2 linked regions of the Mytilus edulis genome follow. The protein of the gene in region 1 purifies or fractionates together with the protein of each later gene. This does not show direct contact. Links are inferred from orthologs where the notes say so. Each region holds a gene or a part of one and is shown in the gene's direction. Other genes may lie near its edges.

What was found.
Region 2: the proteins of tRNA-splicing endonuclease subunit Sen34-like (region 1) and tRNA-splicing endonuclease subunit Sen2-like purify together in Homo sapiens (affinity purification with mass spectrometry; 3 studies listed by BioGRID and IntAct, counting the BioPlex papers as one, with this or other methods). This does not show direct contact. The link is inferred for Mytilus edulis from reciprocal best matches to the Homo sapiens genes TSEN34 and TSEN2.

What each region holds. Positions count from the first base shown.
Region 1 is NC_092355.1:48,365,659-48,382,119, forward strand, and holds the start of tRNA-splicing endonuclease subunit Sen34-like, read left to right. Parts: upstream 1-10,711; 5' UTR 10,712-10,804; coding exon 10,805-10,871; intron 10,872-15,750; coding exon 15,751-15,888; intron 15,889-16,461. Other genes in the region: zygotic DNA replication licensing factor mcm3-like, read right to left, coding at 10,540-10,608; uncharacterized protein, read left to right, coding at 930-1,070, 3,627-3,843, 5,782-6,269. UniProt on the Homo sapiens protein: Constitutes one of the two catalytic subunit of the tRNA-splicing endonuclease complex, a complex responsible for identification and cleavage of the splice sites in pre-tRNA. It cleaves pre-tRNA at the 5'- and 3'-splice sites to release the intron.
Region 2 is NC_092355.1:3,466,633-3,482,320, reverse strand, and holds the start of tRNA-splicing endonuclease subunit Sen2-like, read left to right. Parts: upstream 1-8,912; 5' UTR 8,913-9,015; intron 9,016-10,261; exon of another isoform or gene 10,262-10,347; 5' UTR 10,348-10,373; coding exon 10,374-10,559; intron 10,560-13,049; coding exon 13,050-13,171; intron 13,172-13,794; coding exon 13,795-13,913; intron 13,914-15,686; coding exon 15,687-15,688. Other genes in the region: protein smoothened-like, read right to left, coding at 1,776-1,988, 4,050-4,472.

The sequences.
Region 1 (16,461 bases):
GTTGTCTCATTGGCAATCATACCACATCTTCTTTTTATATTTTGTTTCCAATGTATACAAAGACTCGAAATTATTTCCGTTTAAAATAAATTAATGTCATAACGCAATGTGAAATAAACCTGGAAATGATCGCAATTACTGATTACAACTGACTACTCGCAGAGTGATACTTAGATTTGAAACACCAAATGACTTTGAAAGAAAGAAGTTCCAGGCATATATTTTTCTTACTTTTAACTATATATGTTACGCTTTCGTATAAATATAACCGACTTTACGGAATGGGATATTGAAGTCAGTTGGGGCTTTCGTCCCGGGATTTCGACAAATTCTTTAGCTAGATGTTTAAGGATAATTGTTTCATTAGCAATGACAAAACCCATCTATATGTTACATAGAGGAAAAACTATTTTGGCGCAAATGAAACGGAAATGCCAATTGGCGCAAAAGAAAAACATCGAATGTAAATAACTGTGTTCATGGGATGAAAAATTTAAGTATGAATATAAAAAGCACAATATGAATAGTAATGATTAAAATTTTAATTTGAAGTTCAGTAGAAAGAAGTTAAATAACTTAAAATTTCAGACCACATACGGGCCTAGGAAAACAGCACTTGTCTTTGAAAAAAAAAACCGCCAGAGAAATACGGAAATGATAAAATATATTCAATAACAACATTAAGAATTGCAGTAACACAGTAAATCAATAAAAATTAATGTACCTTTGTATTCTAAATCTTCTTCCATCTTTAAATGCTGAAATAATGGTATGTTGTTTTCTTAAAACCAACTGTCAAACTTATTCCGCAATTGAATATCAGTCACAACGTCAATTTTTTTCGCGGAAAATTCGGATCGACGAATCAACGTTCGAGTTAATTGTTGACGTTTAAACGGGTTCGGGAAAGCAACGTCACATAGCTTGAAATGGAGACGGCGACGTGGGATTGTACTGTCGAAGACAAGAAGTTATATATCTGTGTGAATGGAAGAAAGATGGTTGGCGACGACGGGGAGTGTCTAGTATTGGAGGAAATTGGACATGGAAAGTCAGGTGTAGAGTTATGGGTAAGATTTGATCTTTTGTTTTCAAGTACAGACTGACTAACGGCACATTACATATTTAGGCCAATAATGAAAAAAATATATATATATAGGACAAAATTGATACTCGAGTGATAAATAATGGCCTGTAAATAATTCCCTTTACCACCTTCCCTTTTAAATTAATGTTTAATGACTGAAAATGTATTTCACTACCGTGTGACACGGCTGCTGCATTGCGGAGGAATATACGAAGAAAAGAAAATGCTCAAAGGATTTTTTTTCGAGATTTTCAGCTATGTCGTAGATGTAAATTGGTAAATAGGAAAAATTCCGAATTGACTGACATACCTGATTTTAATTTATAGAAATACTGTGGTGCCGATTTTTGTGTCATGACCGGGAAATTAGATTTGAAAAAATCGCTAAGATGACCGTTAATCATTATCAAAATATAATGAAGAAATCCCAGAAATAATAAAAAAAACTTTTGACTTGTAGTTGGAGGCTGTACATCGCATTTTTTTAATTTTACTTGTAAGGTGTCATTTAATTTGCTTTTTTTGTTCCATGTTTTCTTCACTTGTTCATGTGCTTGTCTTGTTGCAAATTCAGTTTAAAAATTAAACCCTCGACTGTAAAATAAAATACATATAGTGAACTATGTATTTGAAGCACGTCTTATTTTCTTTTACCTATAGGATAATACTCTCATATAAATACGTTCATACCAACACGATTAATCATTTGATAAAAGAAGTAGTAATATAAATACGGATATTTCTTAGAATTGACGGTCATTCTGTGAATGCAGTTACGGTCATCGGTCATCGATTTTTAGTTGAAATGATACTGGGACATTTTTTGAGTGTGAACTCACCTTTGTCCAACGACTGTGTACACGTTATCGTTTTTATGAATTGTTTTAGCGTGAACACTTTTTTGTGTAGTCATTACACAAAAATCGGAACCACAGTATTTCTATAAATTAAAATGTTTTATAAAATCGCTCATGGCTTTACTTGGTAATATTTTTTTTGAAAAATATCGCCTGATTTTAGTTGAAATGAAAGGACATTTCTTTAGTGAGAACTTACTTTTGATTGCTTGATTGTCGGTTGCTTAACGTCCAGTGGCAAATATTTCATGCATATTAAGGACGAGAACAAGTTCACGATAAATACGATAGGTAGGTCTTGTCATAATCTGATAATAGAGGCAATTTGGGATGATGGTCGGGGAAATTTGGACTGCCACTGGAAAATAAGGGTAAGTTGGATAGGGATAGAAATCTTGCCTTGCAACAGGCAACCTACGGACCCTCATTGAGTTGTTGCAAGGGTTCTTAACGTGCAAAGAGCGTGGCACTCTCTTTACACGAGACAATGGATTTAACGTCCCCATTCTAACCGGACGTGGCTGCGAACTAATACATCCCGCACAACCAAACGGACACTCCACTTCAGCAAGCGTTTTACTGCCGGTCGGGAGAAGACCGAGTGACCATATTTCTCTTCCCCAGTCACCCTTGGGGGAACTTACTTTTCTCCTATGACTGTAATGATGTTAGAAGAAACGATAGTCCATAAGAAGGCATTATTTTTAGAGGGTTAACATAATTCACATGCATGTAACACGGTTGATGTGTGTGATGCCCGAAAAGTCCGAGGTATAAAAAGACAGTAGACCAATAGAGATGTAGAAAATCTTCACGATGCGAAAAATATCAATATAAGGAGATGTGGTATGATTGCAAAGGAGACAGCTATCAACCCAAAGTTCAAATAAAGTTGATGGAAAGACCAGTTTACTAACGGAGATTTATATAGATCTTTGACATAAATATCTACAGTTGTTTCCCTTGATTTCTCTTGAAATGCAGATTACACTTTAAAATAATAATTTATATCGATAAAAATATAAATCTATAGAAATTTCACTGCTTACTATTATTCAATTGTTCCAGTAAAGTTTGAAATCTTCTCAACTACATCATAAAAAAATTATTTTGAAACTTATTTCAGACATCTGTACCTTTTACACAACCGCACAATAACTTTAAATAAGTAAATTTAAACACAAGATTTAGAATAAAGATAAAAAAAAAAAAAAGAAAGGTTGGGATTGCTTTTGGGAGTTAAGATTCGAACAGTTGAGGAATTGGGGGCTAAAAAGGGGGCCAAATAAGCATTTTTCTTGGTTTTCGCAACATAACTTAAGTACAACTTAATAGAAATCTATGAAATTTAAACACAAGGTTTATGACATTATTAAGAAAAGACTACATTTGAACCGTCCTGGGATTAAGATTAAATGGGTATTAAGCCTCACATGTTACCTTTGAGCTCTTCAACAATGAGAAAAAACAGATCCATACAGAATGTTTAAGAAATCCCAAAATGACTAATGATAAAACATTAAGAATAAGAAAACGTGTGTCACCTGCAGTTTTATAGAATTAAGTTAATGTTATTAATTTAATTTAGATGAGTATGTGTAAATGAATTTTACTTTTATTATTGCTGAACTATTGTTTGAATGTAAGTTTCATACATTTCATGACATATACTCATATTTCAGTTGTTTAAGGAGTTGCAAGGAATTAAAGACTTGAAAAGAACAAGCTTTTTACAAGAGGCATTGGAAACCTCACTTAAAGATTCTACCGCAAAAGTCAAAACTGCAAAAAAAAAGAAGAAATTGGAAGAGTGCATGCTAACCATAACAAAAAGCAAAACAATGGACCAGTGCAGAGAAACATATCCAGATCACTGTGATGGGATAGACAAATTTTTAGGTACAATTTGCTATTTATTTATATTCAAGAGATACCAATCTTCATTAAAAATGGTTAATAGGTGTGATGGATACTTTTTAAACTGTATCCTAAAAATAATTTGGTGACTGGATTATATGGTTTTCTGTTTAGAATGGATATAATTAAAATAGCAGCACACATTTTTGTAAGAGTAAATGTAGAGTATTGGTTTGTACAAATATGAAACTGATAAGCTGCTTTAGGCGAAAATATAGTTTGTTATATAATATGAACTTTATCGGGGGCCTTTTATAGCTGACTATGCGGTATGGGCTTTGCTCATTGTTGAAGGCAGTACGGTGACCTATAGTTGTTAATGTTTGTGTCATTTTGGTCTTTTGTGGATAGTTGTCTCATTGGCAATCATACCACATCTTCTTTTTTATATTTGTCTTTTGTTGAATACCATACATTCACTTTGTATCTCTGGTTGAGTTTTGTTTTGTTGTTTTGCTGTCTGATTTATCAGTATCAGCAGCCTCATTAAGGATGTTTGCTTGTAATATTTTGGATTTTTTGTCAGTTTTTTGAAATCCTTAAAAAAAATTGCCCATGAACCCCCATTTTTCTTTTCATAAATCTTTTACATGTATAATTATATGCCATTTGTAAAAGTTTTATAAAATTTTATTTATTTTTTAATAGTTTTTGAGAACTTTAACAGGTCAATGATAAGGCTAAGAAAAATCAAGAGAAAACATTTTCCCGCCAAAATTTAAACGACTCTTATCTCAAAAACAAGCACATGACCCCTATTTTTTTTTTGCTTCTTCAATTTATCCCCTATCAATATATACTAGTTTTAAGAAAAGTTATTTATTTTGAAACTGAGCAGCAAACTTCCTTAAATCTCATCTTACTTTAAATTAACACATCATAGATACTAGGATTTAATTTTGTATTTAAGCCAGATGTAGTTTTTTCTTCAAAAGACTCTCAATTTTCGTATTCACATGTTTATATTGAAACATTATGTGATTTAGGGAGCTACCATTTGATTTTTATGGGGTCTAGGATGAAATTTGAAAAAAATAGGCAGGACAGGAGTTTTGAGTAAAAAAAAAGGCAAGATGAGACACTTGCAAAAAAAAAAAAAGGCAGGACGACAATTTAGGTAAAAAAAGTCAGGATAAACTAAAAAAAAAAAAAGGCAGGACTGAATAGAGTGAAAAATAAAAAGGCAGGACAGAGATTACAGCTAAAAAAAAGGCAGGACAAAATTTTTCATCCTAGCCCCCCCATAAAAATCAAATGGTAGCTCATTTACAAATCAAGATCAGAATTGATATTGACTGAATTTTAATTGATCCTTTTAAGTTTATGTGATACTTGGAGTAAAGCTTTAGATTTAGGACTATTAAAATAATATCAATGATTAGTAAATAAGAAAAGACATTTCAGCGTGTACACTCTTGTTTTCTACAAATCAAAGTGGTGATAGGATTTTCCAAACTGGTTTATTATAGAAGTATAATACATAGGAATCATGATGCATAAATATAGGAAGATGTGGTGTGAGTGCCAATGAGACAACTCTCCATACAAATAACAATTTAAAAAGTAAACCATTATAGGTTAAAGTACGGCCTTCAACACGGAGCCTTGGCTCACACCGAACAACAAGCTATAAAGGGCCCCAAAATTACTAGTGTAAAACCATTCAAACCGGAAAACCAACGGTCTAATCTATATAAACAAAACGAGAAACGAGAAACACGTATATATTACATAAACAAACGACAACTACTGTACATCAGATTCTTGACTTAGGACAGGTGCAAACATTTGCAGCGGGATTAAACATGATGCAGACTGATTGAAGGTTAAGAGCCTCTAAAATATAAGGTATTTTATAATAAGTTAATTGATGTTGTACACAGTCATGACCAACTGTTTTAATAATTTTTTTTTTTTCAGATTTAGATATTACAAAAAATTGCATTCCATCATCTTTTGTTAGTTACTGCCAAGAAGCCGTGGACACAGCGGATCTGGACAACACCATTCCTGAAGATTTCAGTCCAGATATTAACATTAACATTAATCTAAATGGAACCAATATTTCAAACAATACAATTGTAAATAATATCATCAATCATATAAAGAAACATACACTTAAAAAATTATTGAGTAAAAAAAAATATATTTTGGAATCCATTGTTGATAAAAATGATATATGTGATAGTGATAATAATGATATTTGTGATAGTGATAATAATGATATTTGTGATAGTGATAATCATGATAATACTGCAGATGATTCTGGATTCCCAGATACCTCTGAAATGAATATTAGCAGTTTTGATACTGAAATTGATTTGAATAGTATATGCACAGAAAGTAATGCTGAAACCCAGCAACCTGAAACCTCAAGTATTGTGTCTCAGGACCTATTTGTTGATTGATATTTTTAACCTTTAAGGATGTACTTAGGTGAGGTATTTGAATAAGTGTTCAGACTCCTTGATGTTTTGCCATATGATACAAGGTAAAATGTTTTGCCCCATAACACCTACATGACCTATTATCTTTTTTCATAAGACTTTATAGCTCATAAAAGATCATTTGACAAAATTTGAGCAGATTCTTGATTTTCTTTCTTTTGATTTGAGACCAAAACAATACCAATGCAAACATGAGGTAAAAGTCCAATTCAGCCTTTTCCCGCAAATTTTATAAATCAAATATTTTGAAAAAAAATCTCCATGACCTATCAATATTTTTAGCTTATTTTGATCCTGAACTATAATACTCTTCCAGCTTAAAGTATCAATTTTGAAATCTTGATTTATTTAACTATACATAAGATTGCCTAAGTACATCCTTAACAAAATTATTATTCAATTAATTGAATCATGAATAAGACTTATAAGTTAATTGAAGTACAATATGTGTAATAGTCATATAGAATATATCAAATGAATAAATTATTATCAAATTCATACATGTGATTTTATCGATAACAACAGATGAGAATATGCTCAACAGAATAAAAGAGCATTTCAAATTAAAAATGTATATAATGTAGACATTAATAATCAAAGGTTCAGGTATTGTGCTGTATAATAACTGGGATATTTAACTCTTGTTTAGTAGCTATAAGCACATATTGGTATGTGATTCTTGTTATGTGGCTCTTCTGTGTTGTTCAAAGTGTAGATCTGTAATGTAATCTCATCTCATTTGGGACCTAGTTAATTCTTGGCTTCTGAACTGAATGCATTCTTGGATACATTTTTGCAAAGGCTACACTGTAAAATGGGATTTGTTTAAAATGCTCTTCATTATGGAATTCCAAGGAATGATGTGACATTTTTTCTCATTTAATGGTTTGATAAGTGAAATAGTAAAAGACTTCATCATACACAGACAATTTTGGTATGCCTTCAAATTAAAATAGAACTAAAAAAGGTGTATCAACATTTACATGGACATGTAGGTAGATATACTATATAAATCATCAGACATGTATGAAAACAAACCAATGCACATTATGATTATATTGATGTGTACAGTTAATTACACATACTTTCCTAGTTTGTGTTCCAAGAAATTATTGGAAATTGCATACCATCTACAGAAAAGACAGTGATATTCAGCTTGTTTAAATTACCCTAAATACTGTTTCCAAATACAGTTAATATAGCATCAAAGAATTATCAATGTGGTAGCAGTGTTTGACCATTCCAGAAAAGTCAATGTGCTGTTACCATGGTCGATGTAGTGTTACCATTCCAGAATGGTCGATGTAGTGTTACCATTCCAGAATGGTCAATGTAGTATTACCATTCCAGAATGGTCGATGTAGTGTTACCATTCCAGAATGGTCGATGTAGTGTTACCATTCCAGAATGGTCGATGTAGTGTTACCATTCCAGAATGGTGGATGTAGTGTAGTGTTACCATTCCAGAATGGTCAATGTAGTGTTACCATTCCAGAATGGTCGATGTAGTGTTACCATTCCAGAATGGTAAATGTAGTGTTAATTATCATTTAATTGATCTTTCAAAAGTATCCTTAGATTGACTATTCCAGAATGGTAACACAACATTGATAATTATAAAATGACAACAATAATTTAACTTTTCCAGAATGGTAACAGCACATTGACCATTACATAAACAAGTTTGAAAACCACAATGCTTGAGTGTTGTAACCATACATACATGATCACAGTGTTGTGACCATACATACATGATCACGGGTTTAATCACACATACATAACATGATCACAGTGGTGTGACCATACATACATGATCACAGGTGTGTAACCATACATACATAATCACAGTGTTGTGACAAATAAATACATGATCACGGGTTTAACCACACATACATAACATGATCACAGTGGTGTGACTATACATACATAATCACAAAATAGTTTTTGGCCAATGGAAAGCCTTTTTTTAAGAAGAAAACTAATGACAACACTGGAGTAACATCCCATGGTCTAAACCTTTCCATTTTCTAGAATTCTTAATAAACTCTTAATTTAAATAATTTAATGTTACAGGTATCCTTATTAATCAGTCCACCACTAAGGGTCACTTATACATGGTCCCTCAAAATATGACGTCATAGAAAAAAACTGTTGATTGCACCCTAAGAAGTGTAAGGTGTTAAGCAATAATCATAAATCCTTTTTGAGATACGGCGGTACATGTGAGAACCCTCGCCCCCCCCCCTCTTTTCTTTTTTTACAAAAACTCAATAACTCAAAAATAAAATTTTGAATTGTAACCAAAAAGTATACAGATCTTTAGATTAATATAACTAAGAAATGTTTTAGCGATAATCATAAATGGCTATTGAGATACGGCGTGACATGTGAAAAAAACACCCCCTTTTTCAGTTACAAAGTCCCGTAATTTTTATTTTCACCAAAAAGTATACAGATCGTTTGACCATCATAAAAAACAACTATATTAGGTTTCATGCAATTTGTATAAGTCGTTCTCAGGTTACGGTGTGACATGATTACGCCGGACAGACAGATGGACAGACAGACTGACAGATGGTAATTTGTATACCATAATAAATGTAAGTCCCGTCATAGTTTTGACCGGCATATGAAAACAAACACGTCAGAATTGCCATAACATTCAAGTTACTCCAAAAATTAAACCTGCATTTATTTTGTTGATATTTTAATACCTGGCCTAGCTATAGATGCTTTTTTGTGATAATATACATGTACATGGTTCTTTTTCCTGGTTTCGTGAAACTACTATTGCACATTCGAATACCGGTAACAAGTAAGAATATACCGATCTTCTTATGGGACTTTCTTTGTAGTGTTGTTTATATCCTTCCAGATGAACTAGTTACATTGCAGGTTGTGAGTCGGAGTTTTTGTTTTGAACAACTTTTATTTTTCTTAATTGTCAAATTGAGCAAGAGACAACCCGACCAAAGAACAGACAGCAGCCGAAGGCCACTTATGGGTTTTCAATGCAGCGATAAACTCCTGCACCCGGATGCGTGCCTCAGCTGGCTCCTTAACAAAAATATATAGTGATTGTTTTACTTGAACATTTGTAATGTCATTTTTTCTTGTATACTTACAGGTCGATTTTTTATTTTGCCTTTAATAGAGATACTCTAGGGGTATCCCTCGATCTCATCTTCGCTAGCCAAGGGTTACGATCCACTCCCGCTCTCTTCACCCTTGGCGGATTGAGATAAAATTTCGGAGACACAGGGTAAGGATTTTTATTGGTTGCAGTCGAAACTTGCTGCATCCAATCAAAAAGCGCCTTTAACATGATCACCTGTAAATGTGGAAAGTGTTTGTAAACAATTGCCACGTGTTTATTGTGCTACAAGTCTTTACATCCCTAAAAATACGACTATATTTAGTGACAACTTGAATGTTTTTAATCAACTAATAGAAGTTCCTGTGTATGTTTCATGCACAAATGCATGAATGTTGACGTATATTTTCGTTTCCGGCTTTACCAAGTGTGTAGAATCTGGACACTACCGTCTTTTTACCTTCGAATTGAAGAGTTCAAGTGCTACCATTGGTCAAGAATAATGTATTTGGAATGGGCGTGACTTAAATCTTCCGGCAGGTGGCGAAACATTGTTTTCACAAATGTTGGCTCAATCCGCCAAGGGTGGATCGTAACCCTTGGCTAGCGAAGATGCCCTCGATCTAAGTTGCAAAATTCCTGAATTTGTGTTTATTTCAAATACAATATAGAGATCTATATAATAGGACAAACAATATACAATCAATGGGGCGTCGGACTAATGGGGTGTCGGACAAATGGGGAGTCGGACCAGTGGGGTGTCGGACCAATGGGGTGTCGGACTAGTGGGGTGTCGGACCAATGGCGTGTCGGACTAACGGGGTGTTGGAACATCGAGGCTGCCCCTTATTTAGACTATAATTAACTTCTATTGCATGCTTTGTCCATTGATCATGACAGATGTCTTTCAGTTTCAGTCCGAGTTTGAGTGATCTACTGAAGTAAATAACTCGTTCACCGATGAAAGGAATCAAACGATTCATGGTTTTTGTATCCTTTTACTGATATTACTGAGTGATGTCTGATGTCAGTGATAATCAATGAAAAGTAAAATGCTGAACTAAATATTAGTCAGTGATTGACAAATAATAAGTTATTTTTCAGGAAAGTTACAGCATCGTTTTTTAATATACTTACTCCATCATCAAGGAAATCAAGATATTCTCTCTGTATTTCTATTATTCGCTGATCTATTTCTGCTGCCATTTTCCTCGACAATGTTATTTTCCTAGGTTCTTGTTTCTTTGTGGAGGTAATGCTGTAATTTCCCGCCGTTCATGTCACATGGGAGTTATTTTTAGTATATTTATTCCACGTGGTTTCCGTTCGTAACTTCTCTATCTTTTTGTGAAACTGAAAGTAGATTTTTCTGTCTTTCTTTTAAAAATCGTTGGAAAATGTAATGTCTGATCGTTGCAGAATCAAAATATATTTACAGAACCAAAATGTATTTGTATGGAGTGCTAAAGGTATTGAAATAACATCGTGAAAAGTGAAATTAAAAAAAAAACCCACCAAAACACCATAGGCATAGGTGCCAAAAAAGTATAAATTATTTTGTAGTCTTGCACTATAAAATAATGGTATACAAATCCTTGCTATAATTAAATTGAAAGTAAGGACTGGAACCAATAAATCTATCATGCATTAGAACTCAGCTATTAAGATTGCAGAGGAAATATGTAAAATTCCAAGAAGATAAGCCAAAAGTGAACAAGACACCAACACAACAAAAACAACAAAAACAAGGCAAACTTTTCATGTTTGTTTCCCCCCAAATGAGTCTCTAACGCCTCTAGAAGTATGGGGCATTTCATTTATACAAATTTTGCTGTTGGCAATAACAAGTTTGGAAAAGAAATACCACTATATTAGCTGCGGAACCGTAGCTCTTAGGTCCTTATGTTATTTTTCGACTATTTGCGGACATGCGGAACCATAGCTTCCGCAGCTACCACTATATCAGCTAGTCTATATCTTTTCTGGTTGAGTCTTAGTCCAAATAATAATGAGGGGGGGATAGGGGGTCTGTTAACATGTTAACAAATTACCTCAATTTTGGCAAAAACAGTTAACAAAAATTGCAAAAATGCTGATAACAGTTAACAAAGTGGGTTGAAAACAGTTAACAGCTTAAATTGATCTCAGATAACAGTTAACAACACCTTTAAAAGTGCCATAACACGTTAACACAAAAAGGTATTTCCCAAAATATTTTATAGATTCTTGTACATCACAGCTTGACCTCCAAAACTGTGTCTCAGATTTCCAAAATCATCAATAGAACAAATTTTATATCCAATTGAATTTAGTGATCTCTTATGAATTGATGTTGCAAACTTCATTGAAGATTTATGAGAGAATGAAATACAATAGGAAAAATCTGAGACATAGTTTTGGAGGTCAAACTGTGTTGTGCAAGAATCTATAAAATATTTTGGGATGCAATATAACAAAGAAGCTAAATTCATTCAAGTATGGACATCACAATATAGCAACTAATTACATAACAATTAATTATGTACGGTAATAATTATGTCATAATGAAATTATCACAATTTGAAAGATTAATCATTCTTCTTTCTTTTGGTACCTCATTTATAAAATTTAAAGAAGGATCAGGGGTTAAAAATTTTTGTTACAGCTAACTAGCCCAGGACTTATTGGCAGCAGGATTTTACTAGCTCTGTTGGAAGAACTGCTAGTCCATCAAAACTGACCTGCTAGCCCTAGTATGCCTTAAAAATCAAGAGTTTGCTGCAAAATACAAAGTGGGTGTCCTTTGTTTTGAAGGAGACATTATACACTGTATTTAATCATTTTTGTTGATCTGTTGTTTATTCTTTTGGTGCTTAACCTAACTCAGTTGTTCCCATATTCAAAGCAGACTTTTTTTTTGCATGTTTGGCGCAACTAACGGCAATATTCACAGAGCATTGTCTGTCTTTTCATCAGCAACAGCCAACCTTGCCAGGGGAATCATTGTGTCCCAGTTCTGCCAACTTTTCAGGAAGTGAATGCGTGATTTTTTGGCCAAATTGTAAAGATGAAAGAGAAAAAACAATAGTTCAAAGGAAAATGCCGCCAAATAAGCATGAACATGTTTGAGTCTCGCGCTAAAGACTTGGCAGCCCTTCTGTCCTGGACACCATTAATTTTTTTCCGCGGCTTTTCCCTGTCGTATTTAGCATTTTTGTGGGATGAATTTTCAGCCTCGTTACTCCTTTCATCTACCGTTTTTCGTTTTGAAACTGACGAAGTTCCTTGGGTTCCCGTACTAAAATATTAAGAAATATTTTGTTGCATGGTTTCGTGCTCAAGAGCTGTGCAACAAAACAGGTCAATACCAATCAATACATCATACCCCCAAATACCGTTAATTGAAAATATCGGCACGATAAGCAATGTACAATACCCCAAGCCATGGTATGAGAAATCGATATTTAAAGTACGAGAATTGCGATCAACACATGATACCAGGCCACCCAGACATGCCAGAGTTATTTGTTCTATTTTTAAAATATGTACAACAGGACCTGTACAAACCAGTTCAATTCTTGGAATCCCAGAGGATTTAATTTAATCGAATTGGCTAACAGAGAATAGTGATGAAGGGATTTTTTTTTTATTTTGGAAACGTCAAGAAGTATTTTTTTACTAGTCCGTCGGGCATATCAGATTACACATTTTAATTGCCCGAGGTGTAAATGATCTAGTCCCGGGCGTCGGGCTAGTGGATTTTTTAACCCCTGAAGGATGAGTGGAATTACATCAGTTTAAAGATGTCTGATTGCAGGGATGATTCCAGGTGTTTTTAAATGGGTCCCTTGAATATCAAATTGGGAATTTTTATCCCAATTGGGATTTTTTTATGCATACAATCTAAGACGAAATAATATCATTTTCCTGTAAAAACGGAAAATGAATATTAAGTTAATTTCACCTGTATACTGATTGAAGAAATTATTGGATTCAGACTAGGGAAGTTGTAATACATGAATATCATTGCATATGATGCACTATCATCTTAACTTTGGTAAACGAGGCCTATTACAAAAACATATATACCACAACTCGAGTACCAGCTGACATAAACCTATGGCAAGCCGTTTAGCTATTTATTCGAATTTCAAATTATCTCATAATATATAAGATATCTTATGTAATATATAAGATATCTCATATAATATATAAGATATATTGAAGATATCTTGAAGTATATGAAATATCTTACAAATATGTTTTGTATAAGATATCTTCATGATCTTATATAATTTGGATATCATATTAAGAAAATCATATGAAATATCGTATAATTTATATACGATATCTTTAATAATATAGAAGATATCAAATATCGATTTTAAAATATATATCTTACATATACATTATATAAGATATCTTACAAATATACTTTATATAAGATATCTTACAAATATACTTTATATAAGATATCTTACAAATTTACTTTATATAAGATATCTTATATAGTTTATAAGATATCTAATATAATTTATAAGATATCTGATAAAGAAAATTATATGAGATATCTTATAAACTATAAGATATCTCATAAATTATTTAAGATATATCGTGAACTATATAAGATATCTTATAAACTTTATAAGATATATTTCAAACTATATCAAATATCTGATGAACTATTATATAAGATATCTGATAAAGTTTATGAGATATCTTGAAATTAGATTAAATAGCAAAACGGCTTGCCATATTAACCACTGAAATAAATCACCCATTGGGTAATTTTTCAACAGATCATCTTTATAAACTTACCTTGATTTAAATGTACTATTTCAAATAGAACTGGCCAACTGTCGAATTTAGAAAAGCAATTACAAAAGTATATATATTTAATTGATAAGATATTTAAAGCAATTGAACCAGTGAACTTTAAAATTATTTGGATTATTTACATATCTTTTGCAACAGTTCCAAAATGATGACATCGTATTTCAGGGGGGTCTCATTTCACGAATGGTCTATCATCAACAATATTTTCAAAAACGCTCAAACTTTTGTCTTTTGCGGAAAAAAGAGCAAAATATAAAAAAAAATCTTTTACAAAACAAGTTTTAACCACATTACATAACCGGCTCTTCTGGGTAATCTGCTTTTACCATTAAAATTCATTCATCAATGTTCTATCAAAATTTGAATTTGCTCTTTGCCAAGGTCTGTTTTGACACCCATTTTGACAAAAAGCATATTTTTGATCAACGTGCTGAGCAATCTACTTTTACGAAACCAAATTCTCCCATAACATTTTAACTTCAATTGAATCCGGCCGCCAAAATTGTTTACCTAATGTTGACATAATTAAATTAAATCGTTGTTAATAAAATGCGATCATAGTCAGCATTCTTATCCGGATTTTACAACATTTTGACGACAAATTATGAAAAATTATAGTTGCCGTAATCGGTGAATTACCGATTTTTGTTTTATTTTCCTGAATTGGGAATTAATATTTACAAACAATTTTTGGGGGCCGCTGGCCAATTTAAGGGCCGTTAAGCGGCCCTAAACTATATAGTGGAATCATCCCTGGATTGGGGATGAAAAATATTTGTATTGTGCTAATTGTTGACACTTCCTCACTAAAAGTACCAGAAACAATTATGATTGAACAACAACAGTATCATGAATATCTATTCTTGGAAACTGTAATAAAGATGGTAATTAAACTACATTGTGGCTATGTGAATCACTAAATAAAATGTTTAATGGAAGAATGTCATAAGAGGTATTTCTTCAAATAAGAATTGTGTTTTTAAACTATATATATATACCCTTCAGACACCTTGATTTTGTTTAATGAAATGATTTTTCAGTTATTTGTATATAGAGACTTTAGGCTTTGAAGAATTTTTCATTTTTTTTTCACATTTAATGATATTGTTATCCCTTGACGTTTTATAGTTTTCGTATAGATACTATATGGAATGGGCATAATGATTTTGACTTTTCACAGATTGATATGAATTGGTGCATGATATTATTTCCATATACATGAGAAACACATATATGCCATCAATTTATTATGTGTGATAACGTTAACATCTTATCTCAAAATAAGTTTTTAACCAGATGAAGACACCATTTCCAACTTATAAATAATAAAATTAAGCAGTAATAACTTGACAATTTACTGAAAAAAAAATCTTGGTGTTATTGTTAAAAGCATTTATTTCAGTGTCATAGTACATTCAGCAGCTCTATTATTGTATAAATTTAAACTGATTTGAGACAAATGTAACATTGATTGACCCTTGTCATTTCACATTTGATTGGGTTGATGATTTATAACATTTTGTACCTTGATAGATTCTGTGACATTGAGGGAGGAATGGAGAATTGTTGGATCATTGGTGGGATGTCTTCCACGTTTACCTCGACAGAACAACCAACTTGGGCTACCTTTACAGTTACTTCCAGAGGAAACCACAATGTTACTACAAAAAGGTATTACATTAAGCAAATAAACCCCACGATAGTTCAGAGTTCTTATTCAGTGATTTGAAAAATTTATTCTCATTGAATGATTTTATAGGTTTTGAATAGTAAAATTCATGTTTCTACATCTTGGAGTCTGGTTAGTATTCCAGTGATTTTACAACCCTCTTATTTGGGTCCGAATATGGGCCCCTGTCTCAATGAGAAATATGTTCTTTTTTCCAATTTTCAGCTCTAAAATTCTCAATTGTATATAGACATCATTGTAAGGTTTTGTTGGTGTCTTAATGTGGTATTTTGTTTAAAAATCTCTTGAAATTGTCCACAATTTATGCAATTAAAACTTATTCCTTCTCAGAATGCAGAATTTTGCTCTTAATTTTTCAAAATTTTCTTTGGGACCAAATTGCACGTGGCTGGTGCGAACTAATATATTTTCCGCAAATCCAACATTTCACGAACTTATATTCCCAATTCCATGGGCCCTGGGCCCCTTCCCTTAAACATAAGGAAAATCACTGTATTCAGTTTGTCAAGCTCTGTTCAATTTTAAAGTAATATACAACTGATGACATTATACCT
Region 2 (15,688 bases), about 45 Mb from region 1:
TGTGTCATTTTGGTCTCTTGTGGAGAGTTGTCTCATTGGCAATCATACCACATCTTCTTATTTATATTCTATTGACTATTTTTTTTAATTGTTCACAAGTAACTACATGGAAATAATATAAACTTTAAGTGCCTTTTTCAAATATATCAAGGATCCCTGCATTAGTTCTGTCAACAATAAAAATAAAATTAGTCAATATACAACTTGACATCAGTAACAACCAATAGAATATAATTATTGAATGAAAAGTTCCATGATAAAGACCACACTTTGACCTATAATGGTTTACTTTTACATATTGCGACTTGGATTGAGAGTTGTCTCATTAGCACTCATACCACATCTCCTTATATCTAGTGTTGTCTTCACTTTTCGAAATATAAAATACACCAGAAAATAAGTATCTTAATAATGTGCGAAAGGTCAATTAAAAAGTTTGTTCATGGAATTGTGCACAAAACATCAATAAAAACGTGAGAATTAAAGTAATAAAGTTAGAAATAAAAACTATATTGTATTCAGGGAAAAAATGAACAGATCTTTTCAGTAAAAATGTCTCATCACTTGTATTTTACATTTTACAAATGTTTAAGCAACCAGACTACAATAAACCCTTTGTGGTTAAGGTTTTGTTACAGATGTTTGGCTAATAAAATTAATGAAGAACAAAGGTATAAATTAAAGTTATTTTTTTGCCTAAAAAGTTTTTGATAACAAACACCCAAAGAAAACTTGCGGTGCTTTTATTGCTGTCTTCTCAAAAGTTTATTTTAAAGTACAATATAGTTAGTATATCCTTTACCTTCAGAAATATTCTGTTCATGCATTTTTAATTTGAGTAACTTTTAAAATGTAGTCGTAAAAGGGTCTGAACATTTCCAAGTTTACAAAGTGATAGAAACAAGATAGGGAATGGGAAGTACATACCTGCTCCAATTATCCTGTGTGCATGGGAAAGATAGAAATATTTATATGATTCTGAAGCATTTTGTACACAAATACAACTTAAAATGCAGAATTTTTACAATGGTTCTATAATTGTGAAAATTTGCGATGTGGAGATAACTCTTTAAAATCACTGGTTTATTTGTCTCAACCATGACATAAGGGAGATTACTCTTTAAAATCAAAAGTTAATTTGTGTCAACAATGACGTAAGGGGCATAAGTATTCAAAATCAATGGTTCATTTGTTTCAACCATGACATAAGCATGATATTGGAGATTAAACTCTTTAAAATCCAGTTAATTTGTGTCAACAATGATGTAAGGGACATAAATCTTCAAAAACAATGATTCATATGTGTCAACCATGACATAAGGGAGATAATTCTTTAAAATCCATAGTTAATTTGTGACAACAATGACGTAAGGGACATAACTCTTCAAAATCATTGGTTCATTTGTGTCAACTAAGACAAAAGGGAGATAACTCTGTAAAAATCAGTAGTTTATTTGTGTCAACAATGACGTAAGGGACATAAGTCTTCAAAATCATTGGTTCATTTGTGTAAACTAAGACAAAAGGGAGATAACTCTTTAAAATAAATAGTTTATTTGTGTCAACAATGACGTAAGGGACATAAGTCTTCAAAATCATTGGTTCATTTGTGTAAACTAAGACAAAAGGGAGATAGCTCTTTTAAATCAATAGTTTATTTGTAACAACAATGACATAGGGATATAATTCTTTAAAATCGCTCATTCATTTGTCTCAACCTGACAATTAATTTGTAAATAACGGATATGTATTTCCTATAAACATTATAAACCTACCACAGTAAACAGTGTACAGACTAAACATATAGAACCAAACACAGCAATGATAGCATGAACTTGGTCGTGTTCTGAGTCTGTGTATAATGGATTTTGACACTGGACACCACATCCCTCAGCGTAATCATACCAGCTCTCTGGGTCCTCTGTCCTGACCAAAGGAGATATACAGGATCCTTCTGTGTTGAAATCTAAGGAATCATATGCTTGTGACTGAATGGAATAAAATAGTGAATTATAAATTATGGCAAATAAAAATAAAATCTTGATGATTTGACCCCAATTAATGTGTGCTTGTATTGCTTCTACATCATTTGCATGGTCTACATTATTTGGTCTCTGGTGAAGAGTTGTTACATTGGCAATCATAACACATCTTCTTATTTTTATATTGATGGATTTATCCCATAAAATGTGTGCTTGTATTAATTATACATCATTCAGTCTCTGGTAGAGAATTTTCTCCTTGGCAATCATACCACATCTTCCTATTTTATATTGATTTATCCCATACAATGTGCGCTTGTATGACATCTAAATCATTTTTCTCTATATATATATAGCTAGTTGAGAGTTTTAATCTAAAAAGTTGTAATATAAACTTTATAAGAGACTTTTAAAGAATTGCTAGTTAAAATATTGCTACATAATAGACTTTTAAAACAATAACTTTGATTATGCAAATTTTGGGTTCTGTTGTCACTGGTAGTGAGTGCTATAAAAATTCAATTTTCATCAATATCTTTTCAATCTGGATCTATATTTAAAGGTGAATTTCAAAAATAATAATTTACCTATTACATGTATTAATATTATAAATTTAAATGTCTTTTAAGATCACAATTTATTGGTATTATTGTGTTTAAAAATAGCCATGTTAGTAACTATAATGTCATGAATGTGTATATGAAGCGCTGAACTAACCACACCATTGTAAAAATATGAGTCATCTTCCTAACTGGCATTTAAATCTTTGGAAAAAGACATTTTAAAATGCACTTGAAAACATAATACTTTATTAGGACATTTCGGTTTTTCTTTGTGTGTTGAAGAATTTTCTTCACCTTTAAACCATAATAGATATAGGAAGATGTGGTGTGAGTGCCAATGAGACAACTCTCCATACAAATAACAATTTAAAAAGTAAACCATTATAGGTTAAAGTACGGCCTTCAACACGGAGCCTTAGCTCACACCGAACAACAAGCTATAAAGGGCCCCAAAATTACTAGTGTAAAACCATTCAAACGGGAAAACCAACGGTCTAATCTATATAAACAAAACGAGAAAACGAGAAACACGTATATATTACATAAACAAACGACAACTACTGTACATCAGATTCCTGACTTAGGACAGGTGCAAACATTTGCAGCATATGCTTATAATCAAAACACTAAGCATGAATTACATCAAAAGTTACTCAGTATTAATTTAAACCATGTGTGATTTTGTTCTTTCTCATACTTCCTATTCTTTATATTCAAGCATACAGTAATTGTTATACAATGTATCAGCTGATGGCAAAATTATAACCACATGATTTATGAAATAAATGTTTAGTATAAAGATAGGATAGGTTTCACAGGTGTGTTTAGAAAAGTTCTTAGCTACTGAAATTGTGACGGATTATATAGCACCTGAAATTGACATTTTATAATAGGAAGGAAAACTATTTTCGTATTGTTTTCTCATTTAACAATGTTTAAATAAAACTATAATACACAGATTTTAAGTTAGTGTTTCATAAATCAATTTAAAATTTTTGAATAATTCTGAATATTAATATTTTATTTATCCATCACAAAAATATGAAATTTATAAGGTGTTGTATTAATGTTTTATGTTCAGTACAAAAAATGTAACTCATTAAGTTATTGTTTTATGTAATAACTTTTACTAATATCATAAATATTACAACATGTAACTTATAAATTCATTATAAAATATATAGCACTCTTTGGCTAAATCATGATATGCATGATAAAATCTTAAAAACTTAGATTTCTGCACATATATACATTAACAAATATCATTTTGCAAACTGTAAATTCAGAAATCATTGCGAGGTTTTTATTAATGCGAATATTGCGAATGGTGATGTATCACAAATAATAAGAACTCCCATTTTGTTGCCTGATACATATATCTGTATGAAGATGTTTCGAAAAATCGCAATATTTGATCTCGCATTTTTGTCCATTCTATAAAGACGGCAATAATAAATTCACACAATAATTTCTGAATTTTACAGTATGTAACATATAAACTTACTGGACAGCCCGTCTCAAAATGGCTTTCATCACAGTCTAAGAAATCAGGCCAGGCTCCATGGTAAATCTCAACAATTTTACATGGTGATTTTATCTTCTTACATAATTCTTTACTAGGCAACTCCACCTGCCCACCATCACATTTAGGCAAGTACACTGAACAAAGAAAGGGTTGCACCAATGACCAGCATTCGGGAACATATTTCAAACCCTCCCAGAGTTTTAATTTTTCGTTTACTGAACTTAATGTTGAAGAATCTATGAATTCCAGCGATGTATTAGTGAAGGTCAAGGTAACACCAAGACATGTGGTTGTAGTTCCGAGTGACTGGCACGTTGCATTTTTGTAACAAGTCTGACTGGATGAAATATCTACTATCAAAAGTAATAATGCTGCCTCTCTTAACACCATTTTGGAAAACATTGAAGTGAAAATTCAAAGACACAACAATATGAAACCAAAACATTTAAGCTTTATCATGTTTAAAAGAATCACTTTAACTAAAAGGTGTCAAAACACTGTTAATTGTTTTAAAACTGGCTTTTCATAGAATGTATCTAGAGGTTTATTTGAGTATCCAAGTATATTAATGTTTGTGCCACGTTTCCATACTAACAAGAATATCATTGGTTCCAGTTAATGATGTGTTCATATAAAGGATCATGGAACAGTTATTGAACTTTTCCATATTATTTTACAAAATTGTTATTGTAGTTCTTCATCTAAACGCTGTGACAACTAAATGCAATGTGAACTTTTAACCCAACATCTTCTCTGTACATGTACCATGTATGTTTGAAACACGTTGGGATGAAACAGGCACCATTCGTTCTCCCATCCTCCAGAAATTCTCTAACCTGTAATTGAAATTATTGTATTATTATAAGGTAAATGGAAGATCTAAATTCTATAGGTAACAAATATTTACAATGTACCACATTTATATCTCGAATCCAGATGTCGACTTTCTCTTATGAATTGTCTCACATTTTGACATACCAGGGTCTTTAACAGCTTACTACATAAAATGGGTTCCATTGTTTTGCTCAGTGTTGAAGGCTGTTTTGTGATAAGTTATTCTCATTCTTTGGTCTCTTGTTGATAGTTGACCCATTGGTTGCAATCATAAAACATCTCCTTATTTATACATTAAGTGTATCAAATTGGATGCAGATGTCTATCCTTTATTCTATTAAATTAAGCTTAAAAATACAGAACAAAAATTTAAACTGTGACAAATGATAATAATTTAATTTTGGATGTAAAGCTTCTTCTGATTGGCTGACGTTATTTTGTTCTCAGCCCATAGACATAATTTAGTCATGTGATTGTGACGTTTTTTCATGGTTTTTTACGGTTTAAAATGGAATTTAGAATTAAATTATAAGAAATGATATTTTTTTGGTCTATTCGAAATAGACTCAAAAACAATAAAATGAAGTTAAAATATAAATTGGAAATTCAAAGTAAAATTTTTAGTTTGTAATATATTAAATGCAGCTCTGATCAATTGAAGTCAATGTTACAGATGATCATGAGATAAAATTAAGTTACTACAACATCTAAGGGTAAAATCTTTAATTGTATCATTTTTTTCTTATAAATTTCTTACCTTTAATTTTAAAATATAAAGAAATCGAATTTCATCCACAGAAAAATCATGTGATACGCTTCTTAAACAAGTATATTTGTACAATGTAACTGTGCTATCATTTTAAATTACAAAGCAAATAAATTCTGGTTAATCTTCAGTAAGTTTAATTCAAATGTATCTGTTGGATTTGTAGCAATAAAGAGAGGAACATATTCAAACAACTTTAAATGCTATAACACCCACTAAAATATCAAATTTCAAAAACGTAAAAAATATTCAAAGAGGCCAAAAAATTGACAAGTCGTTCATCCAAAAACAGGCTTTAATCAACTATCATGTCTATAATGCAAAATATGACAGATTTTATGAATGAAATTCTCTTTAAACTTTGACCTTTAAATATGACACTTAAATAGATATAATTACTTATTGACTAATTGCCAAATACTGGATGCCTCTACGTTATGACCTTTTGAGCACTTAAAAAAAATTGTCATCAGGACATCAATTCAAATTGTTTCAATTGTTATAAAGAATAGAGATATAACCATGATAACTGAGAATTTCAAGTCTTCAAACTGACTAAATTAGAAATGAAAACACACATACATTAATAAGCTGATGCTGCAAATCATTGATACCTGTTCATTGCTGTTCACGACTTCTGTCTTTGACAGTGAAAAAAATATTCAACCAATTTTTAAGTCCTACACAATTACCAAAATAACAAGAAAACAAATTACATGTATGAATCCAAAGGACAGCTTGTGATCATTCTTCACTAACAAGACTAAGGGGAGCCAGACTTACCATTGGAATATTTATTATGAATTAATGAAATGAAACATTGAACTCTTATAAAAAAATTATGACCTAACTTGAGAAAAATTGTTTAACGCATGTTCTTACACCTCAAAACTTACACAAGTAAATTTTTGAGAAAATTAAGGGGAGATAATTCAAACATTATAATTAACTTATATCAGTTTATAAATTATTATTTATTTCTACTTCTTCAAGTAAATACAGATTACTTGTACAAGTAGTACCCCTGACTGACTATTAGTTTCCTACAAAAAAATCTAGATATACACTGAACTCCATAAACTTTGACAAATCTCAATTCTCAGATATATTTTTTTGTAATATAAAATCGAAGATCCTGGAAATTTGGGTTCAAATGTTTTTTAAGAGTTTGGTTTGTAAATTTAGTTTAGAATATCCCTAAGTGAAACCATTTGAAAAAAGAAGTAGGTTATCATGGTTATTGTCCTCACTAATGGAACCCTAACTTATTTTATCACTACTTTTGGATATTTCTAAAAATACAAGAACACAATACATGTAGGTATAGAATTTTTAAATATTCCAATTTTTCTGTAATCATTCACTGATGATTATTACATTGCAAAATTAAGAACAAAATTTCTATTAATTTCTAAAAATAATAATATTATGACATCGTAAGAGGGCAATAATAATATTACGACATCGTAAGAGGGCCACACAGCAAAATTAAAATTATGTCAAATCTAATTATCAACCTTTGGTATATATATTTATTAATCATATTTATTGATTGATGTTTAACACCACTTTAAGTGCTATTACGCTTAGTCCAAATAAATATGATGCCTTGAAATGCTATTTTATTCTTTTGTTTTGATGTCCATACATCTACATTTATACTATTGATCTGCAGTGTAAATCCATACTGCTGTGCTCTGCAGCGGAAATCCATACTGCTGTGCTCTGCAGTGGAAATCCATACTGCTGTGCTCTACAGTGGAAATCCATACTGCTGTGCTCTGCAGTGGAAATCCATACTGCTGTGCTCTGCAGCGAGGATTAATAGCAAAAAAAAAGAAGTTTATAATTAGTCATTAACCAGTCAAGGGTCTAACTTAAATAAGTTATCAGAGAAAAATAACATGCATGTGTTATTACAGACACTTTCATGAGTTGTCTACTCTTTTTTCCTTAATCTGTAATAACATAATTATGTTTGTTATCAGTTAAATATATCATAAATATTTTATCTTTAATGGGCACTTGGGAATTCTTTAAACTTTGCGCAGTAGTTTAATATATTTCCTTGATAACTAATTTTTAATTCCATTAATACAATTTTGATCAACCATGGTAAATCAATGAGACAAGGCTTTTAAGGGAAAACTAAACTGTAATAACAAGGCTTAGTTATTACAAGCATAAAACTTACAACATTGTATATGAGAGTAAATGAGACACTTGGAATCTTGCACAGTGCCTCATTACAAGCTCTATCATCATTTCTTACAATAAATTGAAATACATTGTTATGCAAGACTGTAAAGAGATATAGACATGATAGAGAAGCTGTAATAACACCCTTTGGTTATTGCAGGAATATATTTTCTGTAATAACATAGGTGTACTATGCATGATTTCTAAACTATGAGCTGTTATATCTTTGCAAAGGTTAGTATACTTAAAGAAAATTATAATATCAATAGAGCTGGAGAAAAATTTAACAAAAGAAAGGTTAACGTTGTATATTTCCCCTTTGAAACATGTAACATACATATGTTATCACAGTTTTTTGATATTTTAGCTCACAATAACAACATGTATGTTATTTTTCTCTAATAACTTATTTAAGTTAGACCCTTGACTGTTAATATAACTATATTGTGCTATTTCATGGGGTCAGTTTTTATCCTTGGAGAAAACCAGGGTGCAGAGAGTCATTGTATTATGAACATTCGTAGGTAAAATTACTAACCCTGTTTTAGAGCCAAACTCACAACCTCAATATTGACAGACTAGTGATACAGTAGACTATACATAGAGACTAAGAAGAGTATACCCTTATTTTCTATTTTTTAATTTTTTTAATTGAATAACTTCACATGCATGACATGTGATAACACCCTATTAATATAAAGAAATGTCAGTTTCTTTTGTGTTTTTAAATGTCTCTTTTCAACTGATATTTGCATCAAGCAATACACAATAGTAGTCATAGCTTCTAGATTTTTGAAGTTGTGTGAAAATCAACAAAGACCAAGGTGAGGTCAACCATACATTTTTGGTCAGTTTCTCTACTTTGTACTCGCTTTCAAATCAAACTACCCGCCATTTACTAACATAAGATAATATTGATTGTAATCGATAATCTGTTAAACACTTTGACTATGTAAATAAGTCAATAAAATGTTGATAAGTAGCCAACAACCTGTGTTCTTACCTGACCTAAATTAATCCATTGATCACGTGACAATGCTGACATCCGTTCTCAATATTAACCTCTACATGTGCAATGAGAAATATTGGTTTGATAAACATATGGCTAAAGAAAGCGTTCTAAATCAAAACAAGGAGATTAATTAAGTAATAGAGACAAACTTTTCAATATAATTATGATTTTTGATACATTTAACAAACAAATAGTGTTTAATAATAAAAGGGGGAAGGGCTATGTACATATTAAACAGGTCAGGAATAAACACCAATTGGTGGATTATACCTCAATTGACGTATAATCCACCAATTGAGGTATATTGGTATAGACCAATTGATGTATAATGCAAGTTTTTTTTGTAATTAAATGCTAGTGTGAGATAGGAGCATGATTTTGCAACTTGCAACCTATTTCATAACCCTTATTGAGTCCTCCGAAATTTCAGTTTTGTCAAAGCCTGCTGCATCTCTTGAGAATGCATGTGTACAACAATTCTTTTGTTGAAACATTTGTACTATTGACCATGATTGACTTTTGATAATGAAGGTCAACTATTAACAAAGAGCACCATTCACCTGTGGAGTTGTACACATGATCACATGACTGCAGACAGTAATGATGTCCATTGACAGGTGATTACAGGTAAATTTGCCAATCAGGAATTGACAAGATAACAATAGAAGAAACTTCAAATACAATTATCGATTAGATGCAATATGTTATGTCACTATACTAAACTAGGAATGTTTGACAAGTTTTCATACCATAAAATGGTTTTAAGAAAACAATGCTCCATTTGGGTGGAATAATTTGTTTTGAAAAACAAAGAATTATACACCAATTGGTCTATACCATTATATGTCAATTGGTGGATTATACGTCAATTGAGGTATAATCCACCAATTGGTGGTTATTCCTGACCTGTTAAAAAAAAGAGAAGAAAAGCCAAGTACAGAAAAAAATTAAAAGAAAATCTACAATGTTACATGATGACATGCTCTTCATGAGTTTACCACCTAAACACGTCAGGTGTACTTTATATAGTATCTTTTGTTATTCGGATGTACAAGTAGTTGAAGTACCAATTAGACTATGTTGACTTTGTTTTTGTAATATGTATTTCTATTTGTATCTAAATGGTAAGTTAAGCCTTTTCAACTGATTTTATAGTTTGTTCTTATGTTGTACTGTTACACCACTGTTCTGGGTAAGGAGAAGGTTGGGATCCAGCTAACATGTTTAATAAGGCTGTTAGTTTGAATTGTTTGAATTGTTTTACATTGTCATTTTGGGGCCTTTTATAGCTGACATCCATGGGATATGGGCTTTGCTCATTGTTGAAGGCCATACAGTGACCTATAGTTGTTAATTTCTGTGTCATTTTGGTCTCTTGTGGAGAGTTGTCTCATTGGCAATCATACCACATGATAAAAAGACAAACAATAATTTTCCAAGCATAGTAACTATTGCTTTCTATTCAGGTAAAAAAAAGTTTCTATTTGTTGGTATGGCATTCTCCAAGCTGGTTAATCCAAAAAAGAAGAAAAGAGTACATGCAGCCAAAGAGTCACCATTTCCAGTTCCCATAGCAACAGAACAGTATGAGAACACATGGTTCTACTACACAGGCTATCTCCATGATAACCACATAGAAATCAAACATAGTGGAGATATTGACAGACTGTACAAAATGGTGAGATCCTAAGTAAAAGTTTTACACTTATTGTGTGTTCAAGTTGCATTTATATATTGTGCAAGATTTGTTCCATGAAAGGTCCTTGAAGGACCTTTATATTCAAATAAGGAGATGTGGTATGGTTGCCAATATGACAACTATCCACCTGAGTGTATTTGAAGTAGATATACTTTTATCATAGGTTTAGTAGTAAATACAGTAGTTTTGAATATTTGATAAATAGCTTGCTGTTTAATCCATATCGCGCAACTTTGATTTGCAACCTTTATGGCATACCCTTTATCACACCCCTACCCTTTATCGCATACCCTTTATCACACCTTTACCCTTTATCACACCCCTACTTTTTTTTTTTACATGAAGTCACTTTTTATAATGTAAACTTAAGAAATATTTTTCCCTTGGGCTGATATTGGTGTCTCGGGATGATACAACATATGATACGGATTTTGCCATGTATTATTCTCTATTAATTGGCCACTGTACAGACATCAACAGAGAAAAAAACCCATACCCATTACCCAAATGATGGCTGCTCAAGGGTTTCGATATGAAAAATGTGTATCAATACAAATAAATGAGAAAACTATTTATAAGTACAAAAACAATGTACATATAAAAAAGAAGATGTGGTATGATTGCCAATGAGACAGCTATCCACAAAAGACCAAAATGACACAGACATTAACAACTATAGGTCTCCGTACGGCCTTCAACAATGAGCAAAGCCCATACTGCATAGTCAGTTATAAAAGGCCCCGATAAGACAATGTAAAACAATTCAAACGAGAAAACTAATGGCCTTATTTATGTAAAATTTATATACATGTACATTTACATATAACACTTGTATTAATAATAATTGTTTATGGCATAAAGTTGTTATACAGCATACCTTAAAAATCAGCTTCACTATTTTTTTTTTTTTTCCCCAAGTAATTAAGGTTAACTATTCAAAGGAATTTATAGATGTTCCTTGTTAACTTGACCAACTGACTCACAAACTGTTTTAATACTGTAAACAGTCGGACAACTAAAATAATTTAAATATCTTAAATTTGGCTTTGAAGAACTTTTCATAATCTTCAAAGATTAAAACACTCTCTACCTAATTTGGTTACTAATTGATTTATTGCATAATTAATGTATTTTTATGCCCCACCTACGATCCACCTACGATAGTAGAGGGGCATTATGTTTTCTGGTCTGTGCGTCCGTTCGTCCGTCCGTTCGTTCGTCCGTCTGTTCGTTCGTCCGTCTGTCCCGCTTCAGGTTAAAGTTTTTGGTCAAGGTAGTTTTTGATGAAGTTGAAGTCCAATCAACTTGAAACTTAGTACACATGTTCCTTATGATATGATCTTTCTAATTTTAAAGCCAAATTAAACTTTTGACCCCAATTTCACGGTCCACTGAACATAGAAAATGAAAGTGCATGTTTCAGGTTCAAGTTTTTGGTCAAGGTAGTTATGTTTCAGGTTAAAGTTTTTGGTCAAGGTAGTTTTTGATGAAGTTGAAGTCCAGTCAACTTGAAACTTAGTACACATGTTCCTTATGATATGATCTTTCTAATTTTAAAGCCAAATTAAACTTTTGACCCCAATTTCACGGTCCACTGAACATAGAAAATGAAAGTGCATGTTTCAGGTTCAAGTTTTTGGTCAAGGTAGTTATGTTTCAGGTTAAAGTTTTTGGTCAAGGTAGTTTTTGATGAAGTTGAAGTCCAATCAACTTGAAACTTAGTACACATGTTTCTTATGATATGGTCTTTCTAATTTTAAAGCCAAATTAAACTTTTGACCCCAATTTCACGGTCCATTGAACATAGAAAATGAAAGTGCATGTTTCAGGTTTAAGTTTTTGGTCAAGATAGTTTTTGATGAAGTTGAAGTCCAATCAACTTGAAACTTAGTACACATATTCCTTATGATATGATCTTTCTAATTTTAAAGCCAAATTAAACTTTTGACCCCAATTTCACGGTCAACTGAACATAGAAAATGAAAGTGCATGTTTCAGGTTAAAGTTTTTGGTCAAGGTAGTTTTTGATGAAGTTGGGAGTCCAATCAACTTGAAACTTAGTACACATGTTCCTTATGATATGATCTTTCTAATTTTAAAGCCAAATTAAACTTTTGACCCCAATTTCACGGTCCACTGAACATAGAAAATGAAAGTGCATGTTTCAGGTTAAAGTTTTTGGTCAAGGTAGTTTTTGATGAAGTTGAAGTCCAATCAACTTGAAACTTAGTACACATGTTCCCTATGATATTATCTTTCTAATTTTAATGCCTGATTATATTTTTTTATCCAATTTCATGGTCCATTGAACATGGAAAATGATAGTGCGAGTGGGGCATCCGTGTACTTTGGACACATTCTTGTTTTAAAATGTCTCGTATACATTCTTTTTCAATTGACAATTATCTCCCTTGTATTCTTAAATTTTTCTACAAGTTTTGTTCAAAGGATTTGCATCTTTACTTTTAGGGATTTTTTGGAAAAGGTACTTTATCCAGAAGTAAGCCAGAATTTAATCAGCGCTTCAAAACAGTGGCCATTCCAAACAAAAAAGGGGAGACAATCAGTGCAAGAATTATGAGTAGGAGAAGGTAAGTAAATGTCAATTACTCAGAAATATCAGAGAAGGACCTATTTATTGTAGTAGTTTATAGTTCCAAAGCTGTTGATTTTTGTAATGGATAATTCTGTTATTTTAAAGGAATTAACCTTTGAGTGAATTTTGATGAATTATCTCCCATGAAGACTCTTTTAACAGAGAAAGCTAATTATTTATTAGTCTCCTGCTGATGAAGTCGAAGGGGACTTAAGGTTTGCACTCTGTCAGTCTGTCTGTCCACGCATCAGTCCAGCAATTCCAGACTTTTTTTCTTCATGCTTGAAGATATTGATTTGATATTTAGTGTATTGTTTTATCATGACAAGTTACAGGTCAAGTTCAATTTTCACAATTTTAGCTTTTCTCCTTGGTCAGTTAAAGCCCTTTCCCTAGAATTTAATTTTTGATGAAATACTTATTATTTAAATTACTAGATTTCTGTTCAAAAGGGAAATAACTCATTTTTAAAAGATTTTAAAAGACATTGTTTGAAGAGTTAAGTGGTAGGTTTGTTTTTTGATCAAGTTAGAAATTGGTTCCATTAAAATTAATTTTTAACCGGTAGGGGACTATGTATTGCCATACAATACTCACAGAATGCTTGTTTCTTTTCAGTTATGTACACAGACTAAACTGGTACTTAGAACAAATAAAAGGGACATCAGGACTCTATACAGAATATGATAGTTCTGAAGAACTCGAGGAGGATCAAGAGTCAGAAATATCTAAGGATGGTATGTAGATATACTTCAGGTGTTATTTATTACAGCAATATGACTTGAGTGTGTAAGTATAGGTAATATATTTGGTTAGCTTGCTTACTAGCTGAACTGTGAAGTCATTATTAGGTCTGGTATACTACCCTCCTTTAAGAGTACACTAGTCCAACAGATAACCAATCTATATGTCTGTAAGATAAGACTACTCAGAAAGGAGGGTAGTATAGTTAACCTTATAATGATAACAAGGTTCAGCTAACAAACAAGCTAGCCAACAATATTACTTTTACCTACAGACTCAAGTCATTTTGCTGTAAACTGTTAATTAAGAAATAATTCTTTCATGCCATGCTCTATGCTCATTTTAACATGGGTAGGCATTATATTTGTTAATATCTTAATACCAAGCGTTAGCGAGGTATTAAATGTTTACAAATATAATGCCTACCCATGTTAAAATGAACATAGAGCATGGCATGATAGAATTATTTCGATTCTAATAGGAATATTTTGAACTTTTGTACTTCGAAGCGGACCTATAGTAGACGCTCGAAATGTCGCCATTTTGATTTGATGAACAAAAACTTTATAGAAAAATCAACAGCTCATCAATAAAAAAAGAACAGAAACATTTAAACTTACTTTAAGAATGTTTTTATTTAATTTCCTAGCGAGCAACACCAACAAAAATGTCCAATTTGATCTCTGGCGTTGTTCAAAATTCATCTGACGTTGCAATTTCAATTGTGACGTCAATCACGTGCAGCCCATGTTCTATTCGAATTAGAACATGGCCCAAAGCTAAAGAAGAACGTCATATTAGAATCTAGCTTCTTATTGTAGACCATTTATATTTTCTCCTTTGATTTTGTTTTGTTTAGTGAACTTTCATTTGATCTTGAAATCTTTAACTAATATCTCAGGAACTTATTTAAAATCTTATAAACTTGAGATTTTTTATTTATCTAATACATATTTTTTCTCGTACATTTGACCTTCTAAATAAGACTTACATGTATCACCAGGTTTGTACTTGGGCAACACAATGGGTGCCTTTCAGTGCAAAAGAAGTCCTTTTAGGTGTGTCTTAGGATTTCGACAACAGTAAAACCGTAAATAATATCTTGTTTTTATTCAAATACTATATATACAAATGTAGATATAAGAGCTTATTCCCACAAAACATGGTGGGATAGAATATTTAAAATATTCAATATTAATATAGAAATACTCTGTATGTTTCTAACCCCTGCACACCAAAATATGGATCAGAAGTGGCAGTTGTAAATGTTAGAAGCAGCATTTAATTAACAAGATCAATTGTAATATTGATATCTTCTTATACCATTATGATTTGATCGAACTTACATGTGTGACATAAATTTTTATAATTTGTGTCTAATACTGTGTTATGTAGTTTCACATGTTTCATCTTGAAAAATACAAAAAAGACAAAAAAACCACAATGGGTGCTACATGCGGAACAGGATCTGCTTACCTTGCTGGAGAACCTAAAATTTTGGTTTTTAGGAAAAAGTTGTCTTATTGGCAATCAGAGTGATACCAACATAACTATTGTATATAGATTAATGGAACAATTTGCTTTGAAAAAAAATTGTAAGTAAGGTAAACACCAACTAATTTTTGGGAAAGGGTTTATTTCCTTTTCAATAAATGTGGAAACTTTTCCCCCATATGAGTATTTGTTATTATATATATCAATTATTGATAGATCACATCTACATCAATATTTTGCAGGGAATTCTGAATTAAAATTTTCTGTTACAGTA